Linked DNA regions of Saccharomyces cerevisiae S288C. Changing the gene in region 2 together with the main gene of any one other region gives a genetic interaction. Each region holds a gene or a part of one and is shown on either strand. Other genes may lie near its edges.

Region 1 (8,088 bases), on a different chromosome or scaffold from region 2:
AGGAGTAACTACAATTAGAGCATTAGCAGATGAGCGTAGGTTTATCACTCAATCTTTGGTTGCAATTGACAGAAGTAATGCTCCATTTTTTTATCTCAATATGGCCACCGAGTGGATCACATATAGAGTGGATATAATTGGGACACTTGTTCTTTTTAGTTCTTCTGTAATGATCATAATGAAGGCCTCATAGTTGGATGCGGGGCTAGCGGGGATACTGTTATCGAATGCCTTTTCCTTTACTGAAACTGCTCAATGGATCATAAAAGTATTTTCAAGCGTTGAACTTTTGATGAGTTCAGTAGAGAGAATAAAAGAATATACAGATATACCTTCCGAATCAAACGGCTACATATCACCTCCAGCTAATTGGCCTCAAACAGGAGATGTTGAACTAAAAAACTTATCATTGCGCTATTCTCCTCATTCCTCTAAGGCACTAGATAATGTATCATTCAAGGTAAAAGCAGGAACAAAAGTTGGTATTGTTGGTAGAACAGGGGCTGGGAAATCTTCTATTATAGCGGCTATTTACCGGCTTTCAGACTGGGAAAACGGTACGATTACTATTGATAACAAAGACATAAAACATATCCCTTTAGAGCGTTTAAGAAATTCTATAAGCTGCATCCCACAGGATCCTACTTTATTTGATGGAACTGTTCGATCTAATTTAGATCCTTTCGATCGGTATTCTGATGTACAAATTTATGGCGTACTATCCAAAGTGGGATTAATTGAAGAATGCGATGAATTGTGCTTGATTTTTGAGCAAGAGCAGCCTAATTTTTCTAGTCATAAACTAAGAAATAGATTCATTGATTTGAATACTGTTGTGAAATCAGGTGGTTCAAACTTATCTCAAGGGCAAAGACAACTTTTGTGCTTGGCACGATCCATGCTTGGTGCACGTAATATAATGCTAATTGACGAAGCAACCGCCTCAATAGATTATATTTCTGATGCTAAAATTCAGAAAACTATAAGAGAAACAATGAAAAATACAACAATTTTGACTATTGCTCATCGATTAAGGTCAGTAATAGATTATGACAAAATTCTGGTGATGGAAATGGGCAGAGTCAAGGAGTATGATCATCCATACACTCTAATATCTGATCGAAATACCATTTTTTACCGCCTCTGTAGGCAGAGTGGCGAGTTCGAAAACCTTTTCGAGTTGGCTAAAGTCTCATTCGATAATAAAAGATAAGACAACTAGAATTTCCTATTTTTATTCATTCCAGTTCTAGCTACGAAGTATACGATCTGCTTACGTCATATATTTGTGTGTAATTAGAAGGCATTCAGGAAGTCGCTTTTAACTTTTCAGGGCTATATGTCCTAATCCACTACTTTTTTTGAGAACTTTAAGAAATAACTCCTTTGAACCTGTCTGTGCCAAACAAAATTTTGCTGGTACATTTTATGGTATATAAACAAGCTACGTTATTATTACTTTTTTTTGATAGTTTTACTTATACTAGAAAATAATATTATATCATCACAAAAGAAACTCTCTCGTTAAGAATCCCGAATATTCAGCAGGAGCAAAAAAAAAATACCATAATTTAAATGCTTATTCAGTACTTAGCTGCTGATTTTATCGCAAGTATACTATTGGAGAGTACCGTGGTTCATATCGTGCTATTTTTATCTATATTTAAATTTATAGAAGTTTATCGTAGTATACTATGTAATTCTCTGCCGTATTGGCGGCAAAGACAAAAGCACTGACAGTAAACAGTTTTTCTGATGAGAATTTATGTCGAGGAACAAACGAAAATTTTGCTGGCCAAATTTGCTTACGCCTTTAATGTGATTGCGGTTGAGGTCTGTTATTACGCAGCTGCTATCATGTGTCTATTTGAGATTCTCTTTACAGGTTATCGCTGCATTTTTGTCAAGAAAAGAAAAGAAGACAACCTTTTTCTTGCACTGCGATGAGTATATTCAGGCTCGCGAATTTTCCAGATTTCTTACTAAAGACACATCTTTGAACGCACCAGCATGAATTTTATGAACTACTGATCCATATATTAATAGGTTTTAAGTACATATAGAATACTTAAGAAATTACATTCCATTGCGATACACCTATTTGATTCTGATTGTGTTGAAGTCTGTATAAAAGGCGAAAAAAAATAAAATGAAAATAAGAAAATAACTGCGCTACTTGTCTTCTAAATTATCTTCTGGTGTATCGTCCTTTTTTGGTATGATTAATTTCTTATTGGATGAAAAACTACAAAACAAAAATCCTAAGGCATAAAACCCTAGATCCATCCAAAATACGTTCTTAATGGAGTCGCTTAAAATGTTTCCAATAGTCGAATGAGAACCGTCGTAGTTTTGAAGACGATACAAAATCATGTCATCAACCGTTTTTCCTTCGTAAGGCTCTAGATGAGCTCGTGATACTTTATTGTGAAAGGAGGCGGAAAAAACAGTGGTTGAAAGCACACCACCAAGAGTTGTACCTAATGACTTCATGAATGTATTGAAAGCTGTTACTTCAATAAAGTCCATAGCAGCTTCTGGACGATCTTTGGTAATTTGAAGCTGTGCACTCATGAGCGATGCTTGTAGAGCAAATCCAAGGGAAAACCCCGGTAATAGCAAAACACCAATTTGAGTTGACTTCGTGGACGTATTTGTCATAAGTGTCATAAGCCCTGCTCCAATTACCCCAAGAACGCCTCCAAATATTAAGAGTGGTTTAACTAAACCGAGCTTTTTGGTAATCACACCACTTGCAATGGCCGCAATAACGTTGGTAATAACGATTGGTATCAAGTGAAGACCGGCTTTCCATGCACTCGACGCAAATATAAGTTGGAAAAACTGGACAGAGTATATCATTTGCCCATTGTAACCGGTACATAATAGAAATGTTACCATGTTTACTATTATTATGGCTGGTTTTGCTACCAATCTTCTTAGAAGGAGAGGCCTGTAGGATATATTATCAGGTTCCGGGTTGAATTTATCGAATAGGAAGAAATCGTACACCAATGAAAAAATAAAAAGTAAGACACCCAAAACCAAATATGTGATGACTTGGCCAGAGTTCCAACTATATTTATTACCACCAAAGGTTAGCCCCAGTAGGAAAAGGACCAGCCCTGCAGAGCAGAGGGCAAAACCAAAGAAGTCAAACTTGAAGATTATGCCATTCATAAGTCTTTTAAAATTAACTTGGTGTCTGAACTTACTAAAAGTAAAGCTCGAGATTGTTCCTATAGCATCTTTAATTTGTTGAAGTATACCCTTATTCTCGGCCTTATAGGTGAGTAAAAACATAATAATGGCAAGACCACCGATAGGAAGATTGATATAGAAGCACCACCTCCAGGTAACATGGGTTGTAAAGGCACCTCCGATTATAGGACCAACGATAGCAGCTACAGCAAATGCACAACTTAGGATGGAAATCACCAATGGACGTGACCTTTCACCAACCATCGTACAACCAATAACAAAGCAAAGCGTTTGGAGTCCGCTTCCCCCAACACCAGCAACAACTCTACCGAAAATGAGCATATTCATTGAAGAGGCAAGGGCAGCAATTAGGGATCCGGCTTCAAAAATAAGTATTGCTAAAATGAGACTATGCTGGAAACCTATGATAGATGCGAATCTTCCCCAAATGAGACTCAGAATAGCATTTGGTAAACTGTAGCCTGTAACGAGCCAACCTGTTTTGGAGTAGTTTCCGAACTGTTCTGCGACCACGTCAATAATAGTTCCCACTATCAAAATATCCAGTGCAGTTATGAATAGTACAAGAGTTAACGAAGCCAGGCAGAGGTACAAGGAAAGTCCCATTGGAGAATCATTGCTACCTCTAGCATTCAATGAAGCGTCTGAACCACATGCTCCTTCTATCTCCTGCTGCGAAGAGTACTTAGTTTCCTCCATATTTTTGAATTTCTATCGATTAAGCTCTATACCAGGTATGATCTGGTCTGATCAGTTCTAGGTATGAGTATAACTAGAATACATCTATATATATGTATATATATATTTAAACCAAAAAAAAAAAAAATTCGCTTCTCATAAAGGTGTGATGACACTATTATCTTTTGCATATTTTGTCGACTCGTATCATGTACGCGCTGCATATGAGGTGCGGCGCTATCTGTTAAATATGTACTAATTTGCACCTGCTGCAAAGGAAATGTGGCACTACTTTTACTCGCATGTTAACTTTCACCTACTATATATAGAAAAAAGGGTGTTGCTTTCAATCGCCGACTAATTTGCTCAAATACTCTTTACACAAAGGAAATTGTGTATCAGTAACCCTTACGGTTTGTTTATGAAGGAACTTTGCTCGTCCTACACCACCGGATCTAGGTACTCAATTTTTTGATGATTTTGCACTTGTGCTCATATCCTGTCGACAGGCACCGCATTTTTTTCCTTGTTTCAACAGACATAAACACAAGCTTCACTCATTAGTTTGAAAAGAGATAGTTTCGACGGTACAGTATTCTTGTCGTACAAAAGTCTTCGGTATAACTGGTTCGTTGTGGATTTTCGGAAAGTAAGTTGATTGTACGACGACAGGTCAAAGTTAAAGTTAAAGTCACCAGGTGTATAGACACCACATTGAAGGGGCGTCACAGCAATTTTTTTTATTTTTTTTTGATACTCAATAATTACGAGCATATAATTTTAGTACTTCCAAAAAAAAGTTAAAAAAAAAATAGTGACAAAATGTGTCAGTAAAATATATATGAGAACATGGAATGTATTAAAGTAATTCCATTTCTAGCAGATGTAGCGACCGTAGAATCTTAAATACTATTTACATAAATAAGAAAAGTAAAATAGTTTTATGGACTGGAACGAGAAAAAAAAAAAAAAGAATAATCAAGTAAATAAATTATCGGATGAGTTCTAGTGTTGTTGGTGCCTCAAGTAATAAAAAAAGTGGAATTAGGCAGTCCTGTGAGATTATTGAGCGAGAACGTCACTCAAACGATGACACGTACTCTATGACATCGACCTTTTTTAAGCTCAAAGAAAACGAAATTATGTCTGCACAGTTTGATTCCTTGAAATATAAAATTCTACTGATAAGTACCGCGTTTGTATGTGGGTTTGGAATTAGTTTAGACTACACACTTAGATCGACCTATACGGGCTATGCAACGAACTCATATTCAGAACACTCCTTACTTTCAACTGTCCAAGTTATCAATGCTGTTGTGAGTGTCGGATCCCAAGTTGTCTACTCTAGACTCTCTGACCACTTCGGAAGACTAAGGCTTTTTTTAGTTGCAACTATTTTTTATATAATGGGAACCATCATTCAATCACAGGCGACCCGTCTCACCATGTATGCAGCAGGATCGGTTTTCTATAACTGTGGATACGTCGGAACAAATCTGCTCCTGACATTAATACTCTCAGATTTCTCCTCCTTGAAATGGAGAATGTTTTACCAGTACGCCTCATATTGGCCATATATCATAATACCATGGATTTCAGGCAATATTATCACAGCAGCAAATCCTCAGAAAAACTGGTCCTGGAATATTGCAATGTGGGCTTTTATTTACCCACTCTCTACCTTGCCAATTATATTTCTTATTCTTTATATGAAGTACAAATCTTCAAAGACTGCTGAGTGGAGATCTCTCAAAGAACAGGCTAGAAAGGAAAGAACGGGCGGATTATTTGAGAATTTGGTGTTTCTATTCTGGAAACTCGATATTGTTGGCATATTATTAATAACTGTGTCGCTAGGGTGTATTCTTGTTCCTTTGACGTTGGCTAATGAGACATCACAAAAGTGGCACAATTCAAAAATAATTGCCACTTTAGTTTCAGGTGGCTGTTTATTTTTCATTTTTTTATATTGGGAGGCCAAATTTGCCAAATCTCCTCTTCTACCGTTCAAATTACTAAGTGATCGTGGAATTTGGGCACCCCTTGGTGTTACTTTTTTCAATTTTTTCACCTTTTTCATTTCGTGCGACTATCTGTATCCTGTTTTGCTGGTATCGATGAAAGAATCGTCCACTTCGGCTGCTCGGATAGTAAACCTTCCTGACTTTGTTGCTGCTACTGCATCTCCATTCTACAGTTTGTTGGTGGCAAAGACAAGGAAACTGAAACTTTCTGTAATCGGAGGTTGTGCTGCATGGATGGTGTGCATGGGCCTTTTTTACAAATACAGAGGAGGATCTGGGTCTCATGAAGGTGTTATCGCTGCATCTGTTATCATGGGTTTGAGCGGTCTCCTATGCAGCAATTCAGTGATCGTCATACTGCAAGCCATGACTACGCATAGTAGGATGGCTGTAATAACCGGCATTCAGTATACCTTTTCAAAGCTAGGCGCTGCTATCGGTGCCTCCGTTTCTGGTGCCATATGGACACAAACCATGCCTAACCAACTCTACAAGAACCTTGGAAACGATACATTGGCAGAAATAGCATATGCATCACCTTATACATTCATTAGTGATTATCCTTGGGGCTCACCGGAAAGAGATGCTGTGGTTGAATCTTACAGATATGTTCAACGAATAATAATGACGGTTGGCTTGGCATGTACGGTACCGTTCTTTACGTTTACAATGTTCATGAGAAACCCGGAACTAATAGACAAGGCGACACACGAAGAATTCACTGAAGATGGTTTGGTTGTCTTGCCAGATGAGGAAAATATTTTCTCTCAAATCAAGGCACTTTTTAGACATAATCGAAGTAACAAGAAATCAGGATGTTGATCCCCAAGCTGGTGAAAAAAGGGCAAAAAAAAAATGAAAGCAAAATCACAAAAAAGGCAAAAACAAGTGATTTCTACATTTTTATTACTTCCGATAAAAATGACATAACAGGATAGGATAAACATGCTCGATAGACCCACATTTGAACTTGCGACGCATATAGCTGTGTCGTACTTTTTATTTTCACAAGCGTCGGTAAAAACTCAGCGTCGGTAAAGACTCAGCGTCAGTAAAAGAGTCAGCGTCATTGATATTAAAAGTGCGGGAGGAGTTACTATCCAATAAATGATGCTGGAAATGCGCTCTGTATGAATGCATTAATTATGTTGTACCGAAAAAGAAAGAAAGAAAGAAAAAAAAGAATATCATGTAACTTCTAGTAAGGGCGTCATGTCATAGCACTTTTCTAAGTGTATGCCATTGTAAATCATTCTAAGCGAAAAAAAGTGATATGTCTCCTGGTATTTTGTATTGTTGTCGTTACAAGTTGATGTGTTCCGTAGTGTGAGTGCAACATGCGATTTTGGTACCGCAAAAAAGGTACAGATCACATGGGCACAGATACAACAATTCTTTATGCCTGTATTGAGATCATAGTTTTCTTGGAGTCGGCAACAGTCTACGGGTGAACCCAATAATCCAGCAGTAAATCTACTAACCGAACATTGTGTCGGAATTTACACATTACTGATATAATTCGTCCCATTAAACTTGCTGCGAGTGATTTCCAAAACAAGTACTACATTGAGCGTGTTCAGCGTGCCCAAAAGAAATGGACTTGAAAATCTTGTTGAATTAACTGTATATCCTTTAAATTAGCTGCCACAATGATAGCTACCTCCGCGATATATTGACGTTACTAACCTTTTGAGATTCTTCACCAATGTTGCAGCGTGATTTAATTTTGATGAAATCATTTTTGTTGAAAGAGTAGGATCCTGTACAGGCTGAAATATACTGTTCTTCAATATATCACTTATTTTAAATGATACAGCCATGTATTTTGGGGATATCAGAGATAATATCATACCCGATTGAGCTGGAACTCCTAGGATTGTTGACAGATGTCGACTATGGCTCCTTACTAACAGAGTATGGTTGTGAAGCTAATACAGATAATGTCTCACTCGTGCAGTCACATCTCCATTGAAAGCTGTGGAGTTTTTCCAGACACCAGTAGCAGCGCCAATGGCAGCACTACAGCGAAAGTTGAACTCATAGCACATCCCTGAATCGTGGACAGTTAATGTATGTTGTTGTGACTCAGACGATAACGATAAGCCTCAAAAAGTTGTGTCCTCTCATCATCCTCGAGCACCAGTATATCATAAGCAAAGAATCT
Region 2 (8,059 bases):
TTTTACAAAAAAAGGTAATTAAACATGCATGAACAACAAAATTGATAGTAGAAGAGACGGCAACAAAGGTTTAAAACGAGAAAGGAAATTTAAAACAGTAGAAACCAAAAGTTGATATGCGGCTTCAGCCGTTCTGAACCTTCAAGATGGTGTTCGGGTGTGATTTATTTAAACACAGTAGTATCTGTCACCAAAGTCACCCAACCCTGGAACTAGATACTTGTTTTCATCTAGACCTCTGTCGAGGGCACCAGTAACAATTCTGACCTCTGGGAAGGCGGCATGGTATTTTTCAATCCCTTCCTTACTACAGATTAGGTTTAAGAAGTAAATTCTCTCTGGCTTAACACCTCTCTTAATCAAGACTTCTGTAGCCATGATAGCACTACCACCGGTGGCCAGCATTGGGTCTAATAGGAAGACATACCTTTCAGATATATCCTCTGGTAATTTTTCGTAGAATAACTTTGGTAAAGCAGTCTCCTCGTCCCTTTGAATTAAAATTTTACCGATACGCACAGACCTACAACAGTCTCTTAATCCTTGCTCCATCGATTCACCAGCTCTGACAATGGAAACACCACAGATTTTACCCATGAATGAGACACCTTCGAAGTTTTCGTTGGTGTCAGTTTCCACAATTTGCTTTTGCACAGGTAGATGGTTCAAACCTTCTTCAACCAACAATCTGATGATTCTATCGGAGTAGAAAATGAAATCAGGTCTAGTTGTATTCTTATTTCTGATGATGGTGTACAAACCCAGCAATTGGTTTGTTTGAGGTAGCAAGTAGACGTTCTTAAATGGTTCCGAAGACATTTTTTGCAGATTTCTAGGTTTGCTAACGAAAGACCCTTTGTTTGGATAATATATAAGATATGTAAGGTACAAGAATGGAGAAGCCAAAAAGAATAACGGGTTCATGGTTCAAGAAGAAATGAAGCTAGTATTGGAAGAGGATTCTTACCAATATATATATCTCTTTTGAGGCAGCTTTGAAAGAAGAAGTGAAAAAAAAAAAAATTTTGAAAAAAAAGACGGAAAGGGAAAAGTCCGCCGGAGATAATTACAACTGTCGATTTTTTATGCGATGAGATAAGCTTATAGAAAAACCGGCCTTTCTGTTATTGCAATGACCTGCTTTATAGTTTATGAAATAATTACATAGGTCGATTACTAGTAGAATGAGGTATTGTTATTAGGCAGTCATGAGAAAGCATGTCTTCAAAAAAATAGTTTGTGGCGGGGATTTTGCTGATTAAATACCTTGTGAGTGTCGTTGACAAACTCTAATACGACAAGTGGGACGATTCATCAGATGCAATCACCACTTGGATGCGCCTTCCATCAACTAGAGCGCCATGGAACAGTTTTCTTACCTTCTCCAAAGACTGTGTTGTAGGATATGCCAGACGGACCTTAGCGGTGGCAGATCCTGAAGGCAGGTCTCTAACCCTAATTTGAGCTATCTGCACCTGAGAAATGTTTTCCAGAACATTTTTCAAGTTTTCTTGGTTTACTCCCAAAGTTAGGTTGAATAGCATTAACAATTTATCTGAAGCATCTGAATTTGTAGATATCACAAGCTGGCTGCCACCTTGTATTTCTTCGCCAAAATGTTGTCGCTGCAATTTAATATTAGTGGTAAAATTCCGAGAGTTCTTGGCCCTGTTCATGCCGTTTGCTTTTTCGCTCTGCCAATCGGTTCCTCTGTGGGCATTGCCCCAGTCAGGACTGCTGTTTATGTCTTTGTGGGGCCTATTATTCTTTATTCCCTTTTTCCTATTTCTTTGGGAAACATTAGTTCTTTTATCGATAGCACCCTGTGCTTCTCTTAACAGTACACCGACGTCATTGCTGCTTACTAGCTTACCGTTGACAACGCTAAATCCTTCTTTAGTGTGTTCTACGGTTTTTTTTTTCGCTACGCCAACTTTTTTAATCTTGTCCATGGGAACCACTCTGTCTATTAAGCGTTTACTTTGAACATTTTTCTTGGAGGTTGTTCTATTTCTAGCCATTTTGTGCTCTGATAGATATTTCTGCCTGCTCCAATCTAAGACATTGTATATTTTGAGGTTACTATGATCTCTAATCAATTCACGGTGTGTATCTTCTAAAAAATCTATGGATGGACCTTTTTTTTTTTCGCGTTGGCCCTGAAAGTTCCCTTACCCGGTTGCTTTTCCTGACAAATTTCTGTAATGACAGTAAATGAGGATGAAAAGTAGACTTTGGATACAATATCACTGCAGATTCGGCAAACTGAGGTGTTGATGTAAGTTGTTCTCACCGTGAATACTACCTCATCAATATGTATTGGGTAAGTGCAGCTCTTTTTTCTACCGTAATATTTCTTTGTATGGTAAAGTCTCGAACACTTTTCCTTTCCTTTTTTTTTATATTTCTTTTTATGCTAACTAATTTTTCTCTCTTCGAAAATCCAAAAAGAAAGTTTCAGTCGTACCTGGTACCTTGAGTCGCGATTCTTCGTAGTACAAATTATAAATCTAGACCCCACTTTGATTACTTTTGATGCCAAACGTTTCTTTTGACCTCTTTCCTTTTTACTAGCATTTGTAAAAATATCCATGTTTTTGTAGCTCGAGGAATACTATATAAAGGTGAACCTCCTCCTCAAAAATAGCCAACATTAACTTCAATACTTCATGTAATTTAATTTTTATAATCTGTTCAGTCAGCATATAAAAAATATAGAACAGAATCAAACGAACATCATAATTAATCTACCATGAAGTGCACTTTAGTTTCCACATTGTTTGCCATCACCAATATTCTAGTTGCACATGCACAAGTAAGCAACTCCTCAGACACGTTGGACGTACAATTTGCGAATAGTACGAACTCGTACATAGAAGGAAAATTTAATTCGACTGATGAAGCCTTCAACAGCAGCGCATCTTGGTCCTTAGCAGCTCAGCAGAAAAAGATATCTAATGCAGCTGTATATGATGTGGGTGGTTGGAATGGCTCATTGTATCGTTCCAATAGAAGCGCTGTTGCAGATCATCAACCCGGCAAAAAGCAAGATGCCGCTATTTCACAGATCAGTGATGGTCAAATCCAAGCCACTGCGTCTGGACCTGAGACTACCGCTGCTACTACCCCAAGTAGTACCGCAAATGTCTCTGTCTATGAAGGTGCTGGTATGAAGGTTGAATCCAAGAACATGGGTTATATAGTTGGAGTAGCAGCGCTATTATTTTTATAATTTGGCCTCCAAATGTAAAAATTGTACAATTAAGGACAATAGTATTTTCATTTTATAAAAAATATGTACATGTTAGAATTTTATAAGCCGAAAAAGCAGTCATTTTACCAGTTGTTTTATTCTTATCAGATGTCATATTCATGAAAACATAACACTGGCCTACACATTACACTGATTTTGTTCTTTAGGACAAGAAGTTTTCCAGAAAGAGTTTGCTGTCATTCACCACCAGTATATTATCATATACAGTATAAGGAGATGACATGAGTCGTGAGAAGTAGTCAGCGAACTTTATGAGAGCTCAAATACAAGGATTGGTAAAGCAATAGTAAGAATTGAGTAAAATTATTACACAACAGTTGGGATTTCGTTGTTGTGAAAGGTTATAATATTAGGTTTTCAAAAATATATTAAAAGCCACCCTCGAAGATACAATAATTCCAAAAAGGGTATCGATACTTTTACACAATATTATTCTATTACACTACTAGTCCTTGCGTTTCAGCTTCCTTTATTTTTGATGACTTTTTTTCAATCTTTACGTAATGTTCTTACACACCATGTGATAATACACTACTAATGTGACTACTAGTTGACGGATGATGATGTTCCTTATTACAGCAGTGTCAAGCCAAATGCATACATCGTATATTAATGTGCGCCACGTTTGACGTTTAAGTGTCACTGTGCTATTATAGAATAAAGAAAATGTTAGCGAGTATTTCATACAGTACTGAAGCCGAATTGAAGATAATTGAACGTTGCTGTGATAATTATTCATAGAAATATTACAGAGGATCGTATTAAATGTTTGGCAACTACCAATCATTATTGCATTGATCATAATCAATAATGAATGACAAATATAAGATGGGGAAGAAGTAATGATAATATTATGTAGAAATATCGATTCCCTTTTGTGAACTTCAAGATCTCCGAAGAGAACTTCTAGTATACTCTGTATACATAATATTGTAACATTGATTAACAATTGAATCTCAAAATTATCAAATTATTCACCCAATCTTCATTATTCACCAAATATTCCCAACTATCAGTAGTTCTTCTGGCAACTAATAAAATACTTAACCTATTCTATGTAGATATGAAGGGAACTGATAACAAATAGTAAGCGGATTTAGCTCAGTTGGGAGAGCGCCAGACTGAAGAAAAAACTTCGGTCAAGTTATCTGGAGGTCCTGTGTTCGATCCACAGAATTCGCATATTTTTTTAACGATTTAAAATCATTAGTTTATTTAATACTTATAGAAACTATCTTCCTCAAACAATTCTTCCCTATTAAATATACCAGATGGTAGAGTACCGCTTGCAATCAACTTGACCCCTTTCGAATATACCCTATCTGCATTTTCTGCATCCATTTTTTGATAATAATTTTGAAACGAACCTGTTTCTAATATTCTTGAAAATGTCCTTGGCACATCCTCTTCCGTAGCTGGGAAAAGTGCAGTTTCCAAGTGAAAATTTTCTGCTGAGTTAGGTAGTATAGAGAAAGAAATATTTGAAAGGGAGAGTTCGTTACCATAGCTTGTTTTGCATTCAGAACGTGAGCCTATCTCTGGTCTTAGATAATTCTGTTCCATTGATTTCTTCTCTATTGTTATATCATAATTTTCATGAGGTAATTCATTGATTTTTTTGAATGCTAATGAGCCTACTTTGAAAATATTCTCATGTTCAAAAGAGCGTGCCGGTTTCAGTTCGATTTGCTTCATATTAACAGAAAAACTACTTGAGTAAACTAAATCCTCCTTTTCTAAACACCCTTCCATACCTCTTGAAGATGAACTCGGATATTTCAGAGAGGAATCTGGACATTGATTTTTCAAAGCACCCAGTTTGTTCTGGATATGTTCAAGAGTCTCCACCCTTTTATTTGGCCTGAAGAACGGATCCTCATTTTCCTTCGAAGCTTCCATTGGTGTGGATTGACGAGATTTGATAGGCGAGATGGAGGCCCCAGAGTTCGGTGCACCTAGCGCCACTTTGGATCGCCTTTTCGAAGGTCTTGCATTTAAGCAACTTTCATTTAACGGCTGCGCCATTGATGGCATTTTTCTTTTTGTGCTGTTTTGTGAGGAATTGACACTCGACGGTGTTCTCACAGTTATTCGCTGAGATGACGCATAGTTAGAAGGTGATCTTCCTCTAATAATAAGAGGAGGCGTTTTCATTTCTTGCAAATACACAAACATCCCTTTTGATCCATTTTTTAAAGCCAGTTCATCATAAGGAATTCCGGGATTCTCCCCATGAAAGGTATCTGGATCTACCACTGCACCTAAAATTACATGCAAGCTAAAGTGTTTATTTTGTTGGGATGGTTTCTTCACGCTAATTGATGAAGCAAATTGAACTCTTTCATAACGGGCAACTTTCTGAATAGAATCTTCTGGATAGGAAAACAATAAAGAGTCCACTCCATATTCTTCATAATTAACGTGGTCTCTGTGCAAATAAAAAGTGGAATCGTATTTTTTCATTTTAGTGATATTTCGAACATTTGAAGCTTCTCTTATGATTTGATGTTTTGGCAAAGGGGAAGGCACCAACGGACATACTGAAGGACAAAATTGAGGACCTTTGTCGCGTTTCGCTGTATGCTGGACGAGATTGATTTCCGTGTCGTCGTCGTCATTCTTAGCTTTTATTTTGATAGCGAAATATTGCACTCTTAATCTGCTTTCTACTGAAGAGTCTTCAACGAGAAGATCAAAACTGCTCTTTAAAAAAGTATCCAAATCACAATTTGCCGTTTCAAACGTTGATACTAAGGTAAAATAATTTCTTTTATAACCTACCCACTCTTCATCAATATGGTCGAACCCTCTGTCAATTCTTGGAATAATTCGTAAATCTAGTGTTCTTCCGGTATGAGACTCAACGACTGGACAATAATCTCTCACTAATTCAAATGGAGGTCCCACTTTGAACTGTAGTGTTGATCTAGGGGCAATTTTTAGTTTCCTTTTGTCGAAATAATTCGAAGTGGTGCCATCTTCATTCAACTGCGTAAGGATAACAGGCGTATCCTCTTCCTGTTCTGTGCTTAATTCCCTCTCATATTTGGATACGAGATCATCCTGTAATACTGGATCTGTGTTTTCCATTTCATTCATTTTAAGCGCTTTTTATAATATTGTTATTTCTCTTTAATGAAAGGTTAGTAAACTTTCAATTTTTTGCTTAAATAGGTGACACAAAATGGAGGGCAATTATAAGGGACCTTGGCTTTTCGAAACAAAAGACAACCGTTCTGGAGCTTTGTCAGAGAGCTGGGCGGTTGTATAGAGGACAGGCCTCGAGATATTTGAGATCTCGTTTTCTACTCTTTTGTGTCATACGGCCTGGCCGATTTTCTGACACTTTGCCCTCCAAGCCGCACCTGAAGCAGAAAACGTCAAATAGCCGCGGAAGTAACAATGTAAAGTCACATATACAGTAATAGGAATGAAACACTATGTATATTCAAGGACCTTTATAGTTCTATAATATAACGCTATCTATTACACAAACTTGAGATTGAAAATCTCACAGGGCGATAGATTCATTGTTGTGCCTTGTTTTCGAATAAAAAAAAGTAGATACAAAGTGCGATTTATGTCAGCTTGGAGCGCTTGATGGATAAAGCATAAACGTCCAGGTACTCAGTAAATTCATGGATAATGTCATTCATAAACATAATGTGAACACCTAGTGAGAGACCGAACCCAAGCCAAGATAGGGCAAAGACGATTTTATTAGACTCAATTCCCCAAAGGGATAGACATATTTTGTACAATACTATCTGGCACAAAGGAATTAACATGGGTGCATTGAACATGGGAAAGCTCTGCTTAGTTAAATGGCAAACGATTATTCTTCCGACGGTAAATGCTCCCGTGAAACCAACGGAAAGGATGAAAGAGAGTGTAATAAAGCTTGGTTGCATCCACACTAGTAAAGCAATGCTTGCATAATAGGCAAAAAAGGGCAAAAGACCTTTTATAGCACTATCTTGCTCAATTTGCGTGATATTGTTGGCCGAAGAAGTGCTGTTTCTATAATACTTATCCACGTTTCTTTTCGCAGACAATGCGTTCATAACCAAACCGAAAACAGCTAGGGAAAAAACAATATCTAGAGTGTCTACATCAATTACCTTATCACCAACTGTAATTGTAAATAAGTAGGTATGCCAGATTACCTGTTTTCCGTATATACCTGTCAGTATCAATGAAACGCAAACAATCAGGATGCCTTCCACGGGTCCAGAAAACTCACTTAAGTATAATGTGTGTGTATGGTACTCTTCCCAAGTACTTAAGTAAAAATTCGTCAGCATCGCAAATTGGGATAACATTAAGTTATACGAAAATCCCATTCCAGTTTCGGATGCGAAGATGAAAATAGACAGAGTAGAATTAATGGCATCAATACTATGATCGAATAGTTCTCCTAAGGGTCCTGATTGATTGATACGGCGAGCGTGTACACCATCACATCCATCGAACGTTTGATATAGGAATACACCTAAAGCGTAAGAAAAATATGTCCAGCGAGGCGTATCTGTGTTAAGGTTTGGATCGTAATAGAATACAGTCAACACGTTGATAACTATAAAAGCAAATCCTGATAATGTGATGATGTTGGGCGCCATCCACGTGGGAAATATGTGACAAAATCTTTGCCAAAATGGCTTTAAGAAATACTTCGATACCAGCGAGCGGTCTTCACTTTGATATCTATCATGAAAAGGAATAAAAATTGTTGAAAGTTAGTAACAATGCTTCTGACTTCTGCACTTTAAAGGCAGCCAATGGACG
Region 3 (9,038 bases), on a different chromosome or scaffold from region 2:
AGTTAGGCCAGCAATTAAGGCATAATCGTACTTCGAAGCACCAGGGTAAGTATCATGGTTTAAGTAGTAGGCAAGGTCGACACCGAAGGATGCGTTGCAGCCCCACGTGGAAAACATGGTCAAGAACACACAGAATGTCACGACCCAGCCATAACCACCGTCGGGGGGCAGTTCCAGCTGCCCGGTAGACTTGTTGGTGAATACTTTTTTTACAGTCGGTTCATCAGGCTCGAATTCGGTTATTCCTTGGGCCTCAAGATCCTTACCGGAGTGTTTCGTGGAAGCCGGATATAGTCTATTCCTCATGAGTTTGGAGTCCATGGAAGCTTTATGTTCTGTAGTATCATTTTGAATAGAAGAAGCAGAGAAAGCAGAGGAAGATGGTGCCGACAACGAGGCGCCTGCAGTCGTGGTGTGTGTGACTGGGATGTTTAACTTTGACTGGACTGACTCATTGTGCTGTAGCCTAATGGCATCGGCCACGTCAAATCTAGATTCTAATATTTTATTAACGTCTGCGGAATTTTCTTCCGTCTGCAAGTTGTCGTCATCGACAGCCTTTTTAATGTCGTTGAGCCGATTAGTTAACGTCCTACTAATAGACAATTTTCTCGATGCATCGTTCGACTTGGTGCTGTGTAGATCAGAGCATGGAACCGGAGCAGCAATAGAAGCCTTAGAGAATGATACAGGCTGTGAAGAGTTTATCGAAGAAACCTCGGACGATGTCTCAGAGACCATTCCGGAAGAAGCAGAAAAGTAGTCGTTTGAGTGCGTTGACATTTTTCAGATTTATTTTCAGAAGCCCCGTAATTATACCTAAAGAAAAAGTAAAGAAAAGTGGAGAAAACAAAAGAAAAAGATAAAACTTTTAAATATGTGGTGTGACAAATGCAAAATACTATTCTGACTCGCACATTTAACTAACAAAAGAAAATTTGTCTAAGTCTAGCAGCTTTGGTAGAATATAGAAGAAACAGTCTAGTTTTGGCTCCGATATGAGTGGACAAAGCATCAAGATCTAAGGAATGCCAAGTATTTATCCAGGTTCTCCCGAAGACTTTTCTTCAATAGCGGCGGGGGTTTTTTTTTTTTGCAGATTGCCGAGATAGCCCGCGGCAAAGATACGTTATCTCGGTTATCGTCGGCAAGCGCTATTGTAACTAGATATAGGAAACTGTGGTCTGCAAAGATGCGGTATAAGGCCTCCGTCTGTTCTTACTGCGTTATCAGCCTTTGACAGTTTTAGTTCGTCAGGGTCTTTGACCAAATGATAAATTCCCTGGTTTACATTTTCACTAGTTTGTTCTCGAGCAATGCTTAGTTGGCACATAAATGAGTCAGGCACTACCACTCGGGTAACGGTCTGCGCGTTTCTTTTTGCGGCCATGAAATTTTTCAGGCGATGAGCTTAAAGGTAAAGGAAAAAGATGGTAGGATGATAGGTAGGATGAAGCGGTATGAAAGTGGAAGAAGCACAATATAGCACGTCGAAACAGTGCTAATCATGAGCGATGACTTGTTTTCTAAGGCTTTGGAGAATCCCGACCAGGACTTGAACGTGGAATTGCCCAAGGATGATGTTGATTTAGGTCTTTTAGGTGATGGTGGGAACGAGAGGAAGACCGATGAACCGGTAGCAGACGCAGAAAGATCAACAGGCCTAGGATCCGGCTCTTCTGAATCCGAATCAGATTCCGGTTCTGATTCTGATTCTGATTCTGGCTCTTCAGGTAGTGAGGATGATTCTGCAGATCAGGACGTTGAAGGAGAGGACGAAGGTGGTGACGCGATTGAAAATGAAGACGAAGACGAAGACCCTTCACCTTCCGGTCCTATACTATCGAAGAACGAAATACTAGAGGAAACTGTTCCTGAACTACCGGAAGATTATGAAATTTCAGAAAAAACGATCATCACTCCTATTGGTGTTTTGAAGTCTGCATTTGAAAATAATATAATCATTCACGCCACGATGTCGGGCGAAAAGCGTGTTTTAAAAGAGGGTTCCATTTTCTGTCTCGAGGATAGAACTTTGATCGGGATGTTGACGGAGGTGTTTGGACCCTTGCAAAACCCATTTTATAGAATTAAGTTGCCCGATTCAAAAAAAAACTTATTCGATGAATTAAAAGTGCGTTTGGGTGAGAAAGCCTTTATAGTCACCCCTGATGCCCACTGGATAGATACTTTCGAGTTAAAGCGCAACAAAGGTACTGATGCGTCTAATGGGTACGATGAAGAATTACCTGAAGAGGAACAAGAATTTTCCGACGACGAAAAAGAGGCCCTTTTCAAGAAAATGAAGAAACAGCAACGGCAACGAAAGAAAAGGGACAACCGCAAACTAGCCAACGATAGTGACAATGTCAAGGTAAAGAGAGCTCGGCAGCCCAAGGCCAACAGTTTACCTAAACTGGTACCGCCGTTGGGCATGAGCAGTAATGCTCCGATGCAACATGGGTACAAATCAAGAAACGCACGTGAAAATATCAAGCGTGAATCCAGTGCTACCTCTAATCGGAATGGCTCCTCCCCAGTGCCAATCACACAGCACCACCAACAACAGTTTTCTGCAAATAATTATCCCTTCCCTCAACAACCAAACGGTATGCCTTATCCACCATACTCACCTTTCCCTCAGCCGACTAACTTCCAGTATCCACCTCCACCATTTGGGCAGGCGACACCGGCCCAATTCTCCAACACTGTTCCATATGGTAGCTTACCTCCCGCATACAACAATATGTCGCCGCCAACACAGCAGTCGTTCATGCCAATGACCCAAAGTCAACCGCCACTTCCATATGGCGTACCTCCCATGAATCAAATGCAAAACCCAATGTACATCCAACCGCCACCTCAAGCACCTCCTCAGGGAAATGGTAATTTCCAACAAGTAATGGAATTACATCAAATACTTTTGCAGCAACAGCAACAGCAACACCAGTATCAGCATCAGCATCAGCAAGATCCAAGAACCTAGAGTCACGATTGAAATATTTAATAATAAATGCTATGTATCATAGATAAACTAGAAAGAGGCAAGAAAAATTTAACAAGTTTCTTAATTGAATATTATTTTACTGTCACTACCATTATTAGACGCCATCTCAGCGTGTGACATGATAATTTTTCTTTTTTTCTTTTTTTTTCCTCAAGGCGATGATATGAAACTTTCAAAAAATTTATATGTAAATAAAAAAGTTCTACGAGGGTTTAAATACGGAAGTTTATTTAGAAGATATTTATACTCTGAATACACACGTAGAGTACAGTAAAGGTTTTTTAGATCTACTAATGACCATATCGTTGAGCAATATAAAGAAAAGAGACCATTCTAAAATTTCCGATGGAACTTCTGGTGAATCATCGCTTGTAAAAAGGAAACAGTTGGAAAGCGCCACCGGAGATCAAGAGGAAGAATATACAGACCATGAAATCATTATAGAGCCGTTGCACTTTGCTAATAATAATAACACTGTACTCACAGATTCAGAAAATTATCTAAGATGGCAAAATACCATCTCCAACGTTGTTAAATCAGTGGTTTCCATTCATTTTTCACAAGTTGCGCCATTCGATTGCGATTCTGCTTTGGTATCTGAAGCTACCGGATTTGTCGTGGATGCTAAATTAGGTATAATTCTGACCAATAGGCACGTCGTTGGTCCTGGTCCGTTCGTAGGCTACGTAGTTTTCGATAATCATGAAGAATGCGATGTTATACCAATTTACAGAGATCCTGTTCATGATTTTGGGTTCCTCAAATTCGATCCGAAAAACATAAAATATTCTAAGATCAAAGCGTTAACGCTAAAACCAAGTTTGGCTAAGGTCGGCTCAGAAATTAGAGTTGTCGGTAATGATGCCGGTGAGAAATTAAGTATCCTAGCAGGTTTTATTAGTAGAATTGACAGGAACGCTCCAGAATATGGTGAGCTGACATACAATGACTTCAATACAGAATATATTCAAGCTGCTGCATCTGCTTCTGGCGGTTCAAGTGGTTCTCCAGTCGTAAATATAGATGGGTATGCTGTGGCTTTACAGGCAGGTGGCTCTACAGAGGCATCTACTGATTTTTTTTTACCGTTAGATAGAATTCTTAGAGCGTTAATTTGCATCCAAACCAACAAACCTATCACACGTGGTACGATTCAAGTTCAATGGCTGCTGAAGCCTTATGACGAGTGTAGAAGATTAGGTTTAACTTCAGAGAGAGAAAGTGAGGCTCGTGCTAAATTTCCCGAAAATATCGGACTGTTGGTAGCAGAAACCGTTTTAAGAGAAGGCCCAGGCTATGATAAAATTAAAGAAGGTGATACTCTAATTTCAATAAACGGTGAAACCATATCTTCTTTCATGCAAGTGGATAAAATTCAAGATGAAAATGTTGGGAAGGAAATCCAATTGGTTATTCAAAGGGGCGGTGTCGAATGTACTGTCACCTGCACTGTTGGTGATTTACATGCTATCACCCCTCATCGTTATGTAGAGGTTTGTGGTGCGACTTTTCATGAATTATCATATCAAATGGCAAGGTTTTATGCGCTACCTGTCAGGGGTGTATTTTTAAGTAGTGCATCAGGGTCTTTCAACTTTGATTCAAAAGAAAGAGTGGGTTGGATTGTGGATTCTATAGACAATAAGGAAACCCCCGACTTAGATACATTTATTGAAATTATGAAAACTATTCCAGATCGTAAGCGCGTTACTGTACGATACCACCATCTAACAGATCAGCATTCTCCACTTGTTACTTCTATTTACATTGACCGTCATTGGTGCAATGAATTCAGAGTTTACACAAGGAACGATACAACTGGTATTTGGGATTACAAAAATGTTGCTGATCCACTTCCAGCCGATGCGTTGAAACCTCGTTCGGCCAAAATTATTCCTATTCCTGTTAATAATGAAAAAGTTGCAAAATTGTCATCATCGTTATGTACAGTGGCTACAATGGCAGCAGTTCCATTGGATTCACTTTCTGCTGATATTTTAAAAACATCAGGCTTAATCATTGATGCTGAAAAAGGTTATGTCCTAGTGTCCAGAAGGGTAGTTCCACATGATTGTCTTGATACTTTTGTCACCATTGCAGATTCCCTTGTAGTTCCAGCCACAGTAGAATTTCTCCATCCAACTCACAACTTCGCTATTGTTAAATATGATCCAGAGTTAGTAAAGGCTCCACTAATCACTCCCAAGCTATCTACCACCAGAATGAAACGTGGTGATAAGCTTCAGTTTATAGGTTTTACCCAGAATGATAGAATTGTTACTTCAGAGACCACTGTCACCGATATTTCCTCTGTAAGTATTCCAAGTAATTTAATTCCGAGGTACCGTGCCACTAATTTAGAAGCTATATCTATCGACTGCAACGTTAGCACCAGATGTAATTCCGGTATTTTGACAGATAATGATGGTACAGTAAGAGGTTTATGGCTTCCATTTTTAGGCGAAAGATTAGAAAATAAAGAAAAGGTTTATTTGATGGGATTAGATATAATGGACTGTAGGGAAGTTATAGATATCTTAAAAAATGGCGGTAAACCAAGAGTAAGTATAGTTGATGCTGGGTTCGGTTCAATTTCCGTTCTGCAAGCCAGAATTAGAGGTGTGCCCGAAGAATGGATCATGCGTATGGAACATGAATCAAATAACAGGCTACAGTTTATCACTGTTTCTAGAGTTTCTTATACAGAAGACAAGATTCATTTAGAGACCGGTGACGTCATTTTATCTGTGAACGGAAAATTAGTCACTGAAATGAATGATTTGAATGGAGTTGTAAGCTCAGCTGATGGTATTTTGCCATCAGCCATGTTAGATTTTAAAGTTGTTCGTGATGGTAATATTGTTGATTTGAAAATTAAAACCGTGGAAGTTCAGGAAACCGACCGTTTTGTAATATTTGCAGGTAGTATCTTACAAAAGCCGCATCATGCTGTTTTGCAAGCTATGGTTGATGTTCCAAAGGGTGTCTACTGTACATTCAGGGGAGAATCGTCACCGGCGCTCCAGTACGGTATATCTGCCACAAACTTCATAACTCATGTCAATGAAATTGAAACACCTGATCTAGATACATTTTTGAAAGTTGTCAAAACAATCCCTGATAATAGTTATTGTAAAATGAGGTTAATGACTTTCGACAATGTGCCCTTCGCTATTTCACTGAAAACGAATTATCATTACTTCCCTACTGCAGAATTGAAGAGGGACAACATCACGCACAAATGGATTGAAAAGGAATTTACCGGCAACAGCCAAAGTGAAAAATAGGCCAGATTTGATAAAACATTTATATATGTATGTATGTATGTATACATCAAAGTCTTCCATAAAGAACAGTTTTTTTATAGACTATCACAGGAGCGTTAAGATTTACAAGTTTTTCAATCATTTTGAGGGGTTAGGATTATGATGTCGAGATGGTTGCAAGCGCCTGACGAAATAGTATTTAATTACTTCAACGCTTGAATTCTCTAAGGTATTATCGATTGTATAAATTTATGGTTATTGTTTCATACTTATTTATATACATGAAGACCGAAAGCAAATACTCAAACAATTGATTTGGGGTTAACGGTGCGTTTGGTTTAGAGGAGAACATAATTATTCCACCTTCAATGATAGGGTAATAACCGCTTTAGATGCTTTGAATAAGCTGGATGGGCAATTTTCCTTCCGGTTAAGGCTTTTAATGATCTATGGGACCAGCCTATATTGCCATGTTTTCTTCCAGCTATGCCTCTTTTAAAAGTATTACCGGTACGCCTCCACCTCTTTGCTGTACCTTTATGAGTTTTCATTAAAGTTCTTATTGTTATTGTAGAAACGTTATTGAATAGAAAGCCGTTGAGCTTCACTTTGAAACTATTTGAACCTTTAAGTAGTGGTTTGAGTACATTGAAAACAGACATGTTTTGGTTTTGGTCTCCTCGTTGCCGTTTGTTATGCAAGCTAATTTTCATGATAGATATATATACTATCTTTTTTGTATTTGACCAGATTTTTTTAGGCTCCGCAAATTGGCGAGGGCTTCAAGGTTGAAAAAATTGGTTGTGGTTTATACGCACTGCTAATTATTTACAGAATGAAAGAGAAAAAGAAAAAGATATATATATATATATTAGAACATGCATACGTGTATATTGAAACAAAAATGAAAACAAAAATTTTCAAAGTGAGATGTCAATGTCATTGCTGCTCTTCCTTTGTCATTTAGTCTACTTTGTTACTTAGTTTTTGTCTTCTCCTAAAAGTTTTTAAGTTTATGTTTACTGTTTACATTAAACCCTGTTCGCGTAATTTAGCTAAAGTTTCTTGAATCTTTTTAGCCAATACTGGATCAGACCTAATTCTTTGTTGAACTTTAGCGGCTTCAGCAAAAGTAATGGCTTGTAATTTCTCTTCCATAGTTCTAGCCAAATCAGCGGATTCTTCGAATAATGTAATAGCTTCATCGATATCTTCCTGCTGCAATTTCATTTGAGCTAAACCGATTTTAGCTTGCTCACTTCTTGGGTCTAGTTTGGACGCTTTTTCTAATAAATTCGTGGCTTCAATAAAATTTTCTACTGTTGGATTTCTTGTCAACAAAGTGGCTTTACCGACCAAAGGCGCAATTCCAACATAAATACCATCCAACTTGTTTTCTAATTCAATAGCCAAATCGTACTGCTTCAAAGCCTTGTCAAAATCGTTCTTGTCTGTTAAAATTTCAGCAAAGAAATTTGGAACTTCTGGTGCCTCTGGAAATTTTCTCTTAGCTTCACTAAACAAAGTTTCACAGTCATCAAACTTGTTTTCACGGTACGCTAGACATGCTAATTGAATATAAGGGAAGATATTCTCTGGGTCTAATTCCTTAGCTTTATCAAAATCTTTTCCTGCTTGATCATAGTTTTGTAAAATGAAATTCATTTGGCCGCGGTGATAGTAAACAGAAGAATTGTTTGAGTCCAGTTTCAGCGCTTTATCGAAGTAGTTATAATATTCAGTCGAGTCATTTCTATCAGCCATGATTAATGCCATGTAGATATATGAATTGACTCTTGGGAACAATTCAATAGCTTTCTTGATGTCTTCGTGAGCTCCCAATGGATCGTTTTTCAAGAACTTGAAAATACCTGTGTGTTCTAATGAGATGGCCAATTTTTCCTTTAACTTTTCATCCTCATTGTTCTTGTCCAATTGTTCTTCAAATAACCTTGCAGCTTTCGTGAAAGACTCATCAGCCTTGTCGTAACTTTCGGGAGATCTTTTGTACAAATTACTTAAACCGTTCATTAACTCTTTATCAGCTTCATTGGATTCATCATAATTGGCAAAAGTCAACTCGGGTTTGAAAATACCAAAGAAAGAGGCCATGGATGTAACTGAAGGCAAGTTTTCCTGCTTGTCTTTGCGTTCTTTAGCTGGTTGGGTGGATAATTCAGTTGGAGTAGCAGTAGCGGTGTCAATATCGCCAAACTTTTCTTTCAATTTAGACATAGCTTGCTTATTCAAGTTCCTCTCCAACATTGGTTCAATAGAGGCGTCATTGAAGTCACCATTTAGAGACAATACAGACAAATCGAACATCGCATCCGCAAATTTTCCTAGCCCTTCGTTAGCAGAAGCTCTTCTCAGTAAAACTTTTGAGTAGTCTGGTTTTAATTCAAGAGCCTTAGTACTCATTTCAACAACTTTTTTCAAGTCACCCACAGAAACATAGCAAGCCGATAAATTCGAGTAGAAAACTGGGTCTTCTTTCAATTCTAATGCCCAATTATAGTACTTAATAGCATCGTCATATTTTTTATTTCTAAAGAACTGGTTACCTTTGTCCTTTAACGCTAATGCATATTTATCCTTTTCTTCAGCGGTGAAATTTGCCTTATTGGAAAAATCTGGTTCGCCATTACTAGAAACCGGGTAGATAGGAGGATTTGATGGGGCTGTAGATTTCTTAGCACCTTCAGTCTCCTTTTGAGAGTCCTTTGTGTCCTTTTTTTCATCTTTGTTGATCGTGTTCTTTTTTC
Region 4 (6,796 bases), on a different chromosome or scaffold from region 2:
GTTTTTTATTAAATCTGCCGGATAATCTACCACTTTATACGCAGTACCATACCATTTTTCAGCAGAATCTGTTTCTAAACTCCTTGAGATCAGAGTAACACGAGAATTTTCCGGGACCAGAGCGTCCGTATATTGGGTAAGCAAATCAGGTTCATATTTCGTTAACAAACCCATGGCTAAAATTCTGCTAACAGGAATGTAATCCTTTTCCAAGCATTTTGCCAATGATGAAACTGTGGAAGATGGGCTACCAGCTTGCTTAAACTTGAAGGTAGCATTAGAGATATCTTGCAGTTCATTGAATATCCATTTTTGAGGTAGTGAGTTTTTCAACATTTCAATATACTGGAAGATCAAGACAATAACATCGCGATAGTGTGTCAACCCGTTGTCTGTTAAATCTATATCGACAGCAAAAAAAGCATTTCCTTTGGACACAGTATGCCCACCAGCAGATAGCTCATTGGCCCAGCCCAATTTTTTCAAATGTGCTAGTAATGAACCGGACCCTTCATGGCCGATTAAATGACTTAATATCCTCGGTGGCTTGGACTCCCAATGTTCCTCCATATCAGGGACAGTGAAAGAGATTTCTAGTTTTTTCAAATCTTTCACAGGACGGACTTGAATTATTTTTTGCAAATGCTCAGGCTGCATAATAGGTTCCGCATAAAGGGGTACTTCACGACCGTTATTGGCTACATCCTTGAAGAGATCATAAGTCCAATCAGAGAGAGTATCAAGGTCTTCTCTACCAAGAATACATAGCTTCATTAGGTTAGCGGAGTAAAAATTCTTATGGAATTTTAACAGTTCATCTCTAACATTTAGTCCATTTTCCTTTGGCAATGTGCCCAAAGTTTCGATGTTTCCTGTAGAAAATTTGTGATATGGATGTTTTGTATTGGTCAAAGACTTGTCTAATTGGTAAATTCTCCAAATATCATTCTGTAAGTTCTTTTTGTTTTCGCTGTTAACGGCGTTGATCTCTTTATCAGTAGAGTCCTTGTTGAAAAGAGGACAAGAGAAAAACCCTGAAAACCTGTCTAGCGCACCAAATAAATGTTGGTGATTAACCTCAAAAAAATAATTTGTGTTTTGCGATGCTGTGTAGGCATTGGATGAACCACCGTGCTTGCTTAAATAGCTCGAGTATTCGTTTTCGTCTGGAAATTTCTCAGAGCCCATGAATAAAAGATGCTCGCAGAAATGCGCCAATCCAGGTAGGTTCTTTGGATCTTCAAAGGCGCCAATATTGACGTCTAGCGACGCTGCTGCTTTATCTGCTTTTGGGTCCTGGATCAACAGAGCCTTCAGCTTATTAGGTAGCTCAATAAACCGATACGATCTTTCGTCTAAATCCGGCTTTAAAAAGTCCAGATTGAATGTCTTAAAATTGGATGTCATATTATAAGGATTTGTTGTGTAATAGCGTGATAAGCACGTGAATGGCTTGAAGCGTCTTACGGTGAAATTGAGACTGATAGGTGAGAGGTGAACCAATTGAGTGAGGAGTGGTTTAGTTACAAATGCAGAAGAAGAAGCTAAAAGAGATACGCCCATACAGAGCAATATCAAAATGAGCAAGAATGAGGTCTTCCGAATGGTTGGTTCTGACTTACTATTTGATTTCACTTTCTCTGATTCATTCAGGAAGAAAAGGGCGAAGTCCTCGAAATGAAAATTTCAACATCATTAACAGACCGGCGCGCGCCTTTACAATTTAGTATGTACGCCACCAATAAAAGCTGCTTAAACAATAAGCTAGAAAGCCCAAAGGGTGTTAAATAGTACAGCGAACCCTTCAGCAACGGTACATCAACAACCCCTTGAAAAGAATAGAGACAATACAGCTACAGTCATCCCCTTCTCTTGTATTTTTGGCCACAATTGATTGTATTACATCATATTTTGCCTGTGCGCTTCTTCTATCTTTTCCGCATAAACTAGGGGAAACGCGATGAAGAAATGGATTGGCTGAAAAATACAACAATTGTAGTGTTATTCAGTCATTCAACTGACAAAAGTAACAAACACAAGAAACGTCAAGTCCAGTGCAATATGCGAAAGAACACTTTAGATATGGTCACTATAGGTATCGCATGCCTTGTGGGAGTCTACACGGGCACGAGATTTTTCGAGCCCATTGTTATCGATAGATTGCGTAAGGATGGAAACTTGAGAACGGACATTCCCATCCCAGAATACGACGAGGACGGAAATCTGTTAAAGGTCACGCCGTCTTTATCATCCACACCAGCTGCACCACCTACACCACCTACACCTCCTACTCCACCACAACAGTAAGGAAGCGTACTAGAAAATACCTCTATACTTTCTTTTCCTGTATATAGCATCAATAGTAAAGCCATTATAACGTTACAAAAACCTATTACCCGGAAAATTACTATTTATAGAAGCATTGGACCCATGCACCACATGCATTAGGACCCATTATTTCTTTTTTACAATTTTTCCGTTAATTTTTCACGAATTTTTCACCGTTTATAAACACTCTCGAACTTATAAACAAAGGGATGATAAATAGATTTCGCCAGTTGTTAATACACACAGGGTCAAAGCTCACAGCACTACTACACTCGTTCAACACTCGTTATATATTATCATGCGTGCCACCACTTTATTATCTTCAGTCGTTTCTTTGGCATTGTTGTCGAAGGAAGTCTTAGCAACACCTCCAGCTTGTTTATTGGCCTGTGTTGCGCAAGTCGGCAAATCCTCTTCCACATGTGACTCTTTGAATCAAGTCACCTGTTACTGTGAACACGAAAACTCCGCCGTCAAGAAATGTCTAGACTCCATCTGCCCAAACAATGACGCTGATGCTGCTTATTCTGCTTTCAAGAGTTCTTGTTCCGAACAAAATGCTTCATTGGGCGATTCCAGCAGCAGTGCCTCCTCATCCGCTTCTTCATCCAGCAAGGCCTCTTCTTCTACCAAGGCTTCTTCCAGTAGCGCTTCCTCCTCTACCAAGGCTTCTTCCAGTAGCGCTTCCTCCTCTACTAAAGCTTCTTCCAGCAGCGCTGCCCCATCTTCTAGCAAGGCTTCTTCCACCGAATCCTCTTCTTCCTCTTCTTCTTCCACCAAGGCTCCTTCCAGTGAAGAATCCTCTTCCACTTATGTCTCTTCGAGCAAGCAAGCTTCCTCCACTAGCGAGGCTCACTCTTCCAGTGCTGCCTCTTCGACCGTGTCCCAAGAAACAGTCTCCTCTGCTCTACCAACTTCTACCGCCGTTATTTCTACTTTCTCTGAAGGTTCTGGTAATGTTCTAGAGGCAGGAAAATCCGTTTTCATTGCTGCTGTTGCCGCTATGTTAATCTAATTATCTATCACTTTATTTCTAATGGGTTAAGGTATCTATCTTTTATATTTCTTATTTCCTCTTCTTATATGATGCGGATGATTTTATTTCTTCAAAAAACATTTTAAAACTCCTCTTTATTTCGTTATGTTCCAGTTCACTACGACTTCTTTTCTCTTAAAGAGCAAATAAAAGTATATAAATCTATATTAAATGAAAATCAAAAAAATATTTTTTCGATCAGCTCCTTGTTCTTTTCATTTCAAAGTTTTTTACATTGTTACACATGTGCATGAATATATATGTTTGCAGAATATTTTTGGCGACGCTTAACTCGCCATTTCAGTATATGTCGGTGGCGGTACATATCTGGGCAGAGCTTCAGCTTCAACGTGCTCTCTAACTTGACAAAAGATCTGAACAGGATCAATGTTTACTTCAGATTGCTTCCTAATTCCATTGATTCCCCATTCTATCAGTAGCTGTAAACTGAATGTTCTTTTTATCGTGCATGTCTTGAAACTATACAACCTATTGCCGCGATGTCTATAGTCTTCTTCATTAAATACCAACTTTCTTAAAATGGGGTGATCCTTTAACCGTAATTCACATTCAAACATAGAACCATCAAAATTTTCTCGTATTTCGTTTAAGTCCAAAAGAGGTTTATTGGATTTGAGCTGATTCAAATCAATCTCGATTAGCTTCAAAGAAGAGTAATTGCCGTTCGCTATTCCCTGAGATAAATATGTTGTAGTCTCTAGCAAGTTCAGTTGTAGTTTAAGTGGGGTAATTTGCATTTTGCTCAAACTTGCTATATTCCCCTCCATGACTACATAGACCTTGTCAAAATTTTGGCTGCCAGACCTAAACAAGTAGTCTTTCCTGTATATTTGCTTCAAATCTCGACTTCTAACCTCTATTCTCATATTGCTTTCCCCATCAGGCAACCCCATTTTATAAGTAGATGGGAAAACTTTCATACCATTTACTAGGCGAGTAGATTGTCTTGTTGATGTGACTGATGATACCGGTCTCGATCTAATGTCGCCGTTTTCTATCAATATAGAATTAGCTTGAGAAAAGTTCCTGTCACTTTTTATATATCCGACTCCATTAACGACTTTGACGTCCTTTGATGGCACCTTTAAATTTGAACTATTGAAAAATTCATTGTTGGTGACCATACTATTTCCTCTACTATTGTTACTGAAGGCATTAAGTTCTTCATTGTCATCTTCATCAGGTTCTATAATAAGATCTTTTGGCTCAGGTATAAATTCGAACGTCTCGATTTCCCTTATCAGTTTATGGAATGGCTTAAACCAAGATGAAGATTTCCCTAGCTCTAATTGAACTTGCACCATATATATAACTTTTCCAAAAGAGTAAAAATACAAATCCAGATTATCGATTTTATTAAATTCTTGCCAATGACTATTGAACGTAGGTGGGAGTCGGGCATTACTTCTTGTCACAAACGCTACTGTCTTTGCCGTATGATTTTTCAGACATTCAGGCTTTCTGGGAAACTTGTCAAATTGAAAGCTATAATTATATGAACCTGGTTTAACTTTGAACGGCTTGGAGGAGCCATCAAGAGCATTCCATACATTATCTGGAGGGAAAACTCTCTGTTCGAATTTCATTAATGTATGAAAGGATTTGTTGTCTTGGCCCGGCATCATCATGCCATTCTGTTGAAACATGTACTCTTGATCAATTTTTGTTAAGGTCTCTGAGAATCCTTTTAGAATGACGGAAATTTTCCTTATAGATAGCGCTTTTGTTAACTGAAGACTAACTATCCCTGACATTTGATCATTAGAGCTATAAAACTCCCCGTTGTACGGTGGGTTTAAGGATATTGAAATTTTTGGAGCCATGGTTTGACAAACTGTATGGTTCTCAACCTTCTCTAATCAAAAGCAGAATCTTAAATATAAACACTCACAGAATATCCGTTGGTCAATGAAGTAATTCTCCTTTGTACTGGCTGCTTTTTCTCCTCTAGTTTATGTAATTCTACTTTTGGATGGGTGCGACTGCTTTTAATTGATTGAGTGGCGGTGTTAGAAGGGCTGTAGAGTCGAAGGCTTGTTTCTCTCTTACGCACCTCTTGTGAAAAGGGCGTGCACCTTCCCCAGGACCCTCTCTCACCCTCAACCCGCATTTTGCTGAGAATTTTCACCAAGGCCCTAGGTGATATTAGATTCCACCTGACTAATTGCATTACAGCCGACCCAAGGCAATATCAGTTTAATAAAATATCATGTATCTCACCCTCTTCTTGGTATTAGTAAAGAGACGCCTGATCTTGTAACAGTGGTGAAGATTGTACTAGAGCAGAATCAAGAATTTAAAAAGTGTAAAGGCAAGGCAGAGGCGATGTACATAAAACTTCGAAGTAAGAAATATTTAATAGTTCTCGCCACATCACTATGCAGCTATATAAAAACTACTATAAACGTTTGTTTTGTTCCTTACGCACAATATCCTTGCCTAGAAATCGTTTTTGAAATTTAAATTTTTATTACCATTTATTTGATTCGCCTTCAGAAAAATATGGAAGAGTGCATATTTAAAAAGGACTATTTCAGCATATAGTAAAAGTCAGGTTATTTGTTTATTTGCGATATCAGAGTAACTTAAACTAACTATGCAGGGCACTTTTAAAAGGTTTTACCATCCCACGCTTACGCGGATGTCCTTCTTGGATAAATTCCTCAAGCCTATGATGGCAACGGCTTCCCCAAAGGAATACCAGATCAAACAACTGGTCAAGCCAATAGGCTTAACACAAGCACCAAGGAAAAGCACCAAATACTCCCAGGGGAACTCTTTGAGGGATATGTTTGATTCGGAAAAGACAAACCACAGAGTTAAAGAGTTGGCCGTTGAATTCAGCAAATCTGGACTTTATGACGTGCAAGTCTTCCAAAAGACAAAGGGGAAATTGTTTATAGCTCCAGTTTCATATTGGAAAGAAGATAAAGCTTTGTTTTTTCCTCATTTGATAGGAACGGCAATGGATGGTACGAAACAACAGAATATCGAGGATATGTTAAGGGGTAAAACCAGTATAGTGAGGTTATTTAGTACAGCATCTGGCGATAAGTTGAGTAGTTCATACTTCCAAGGAATCGTAGACGATAACAAAAAAACTGACTACTTGACTGAAGCTGATGCGCGTTTAAGTTTAAATGACAGTAACGTCCAAATCATCGAGGTCAATCTTGTAGAAAACGCTGTGAAAAGTGCTCTAGTGAAAACGCTTGCTCGTTGGGCCAATCGCGTTCCATCCTGGCGCCAGCCATTTTATTTCGAATGTTCTAGAGGCCAATGGCCATTTTCCGTCAGGGAAGAGCTCTTTTGCAATAATGTCTTTTCTGGATACGTCTTTCTTGTGGACCAGCAGTTAAAAATTAGGTGGGCAGCTTGCGGGGAGGCTACTCCATCTGAAAAGGAAGCATT

Evidence for each region.
Region 1: mutations in NDT80 (region 2) and VBA5 together harm fitness more than expected from each alone (negative genetic interaction), as found in Saccharomyces cerevisiae (one large-scale study listed by BioGRID).
Region 3: mutations in NDT80 (region 2) and NMA111 together harm fitness more than expected from each alone (negative genetic interaction), as found in Saccharomyces cerevisiae (one large-scale study listed by BioGRID).
Region 4: mutations in NDT80 (region 2) and ECM19 together harm fitness more than expected from each alone (negative genetic interaction), as found in Saccharomyces cerevisiae (one large-scale study listed by BioGRID).

Annotation. Positions count from the first base shown.
Region 1 is NC_001143.9:656,544-664,631, forward strand, and holds VBA5 (basic amino acid transporter), read right to left. Parts: upstream 3,922-8,088; coding exon 2,173-3,921; downstream 1-2,172. Other genes in the region: putative multidrug transporter NFT1, read left to right, coding at 1-193; YKR104W (uncharacterized protein), read left to right, coding at 293-1,213; GEX2 (glutathione exchanger), read left to right, coding at 4,899-6,746. UniProt on the Saccharomyces cerevisiae protein: Transporter required for vacuolar uptake of basic amino acids.
Region 2 is NC_001140.6:354,875-362,933, reverse strand, and holds NDT80 (transcription factor NDT80), read right to left. Parts: upstream 6,374-8,059; coding exon 4,490-6,373; downstream 1-4,489. Other genes in the region: FUR1 (uracil phosphoribosyltransferase), read right to left, coding at 169-819; YHR127W (uncharacterized protein), read right to left, coding at 1,290-2,021; ANS1 (Ans1p), read left to right, coding at 2,753-3,232; YHR125W (uncharacterized protein), read right to left, coding at 3,771-4,076; EPT1 (bifunctional diacylglycerol cholinephosphotransferase/ethanolaminephosphotransferase), read right to left, coding at 6,853-7,978. UniProt on the Saccharomyces cerevisiae protein: Transcription factor required for successful completion of meiosis and spore formation. Gets activated after completion of meiotic recombination at the end of prophase I.
Region 3 is NC_001146.8:391,385-400,422, forward strand, and holds NMA111 (Nma111p), read left to right. Parts: upstream 1-3,300; coding exon 3,301-6,294; downstream 6,295-9,038. Other genes in the region: ESBP6 (Esbp6p), read right to left, coding at 1-783; NAF1 (RNA-binding snoRNP assembly protein), read left to right, coding at 1,508-2,986; mitochondrial 54S ribosomal protein bL35m MRP35, read right to left, coding at 6,639-6,986; protein channel TOM70, read right to left, coding at 7,300-9,038. UniProt on the Saccharomyces cerevisiae protein: Nuclear serine protease which mediates apoptosis through proteolysis of the apoptotic inhibitor BIR1.
Region 4 is NC_001144.5:901,098-907,893, forward strand, and holds ECM19 (Ecm19p), read left to right. Parts: upstream 1-1,968; coding exon 1,969-2,307; downstream 2,308-6,796. Other genes in the region: STE23 (metalloendopeptidase), read right to left, coding at 1-1,563; CCW14 (Ccw14p), read left to right, coding at 2,627-3,343; ART10 (Art10p), read right to left, coding at 3,652-5,208; ATP10 (Atp10p), read left to right, coding at 5,982-6,796. UniProt on the Saccharomyces cerevisiae protein: May be involved in cell wall organization and biogenesis.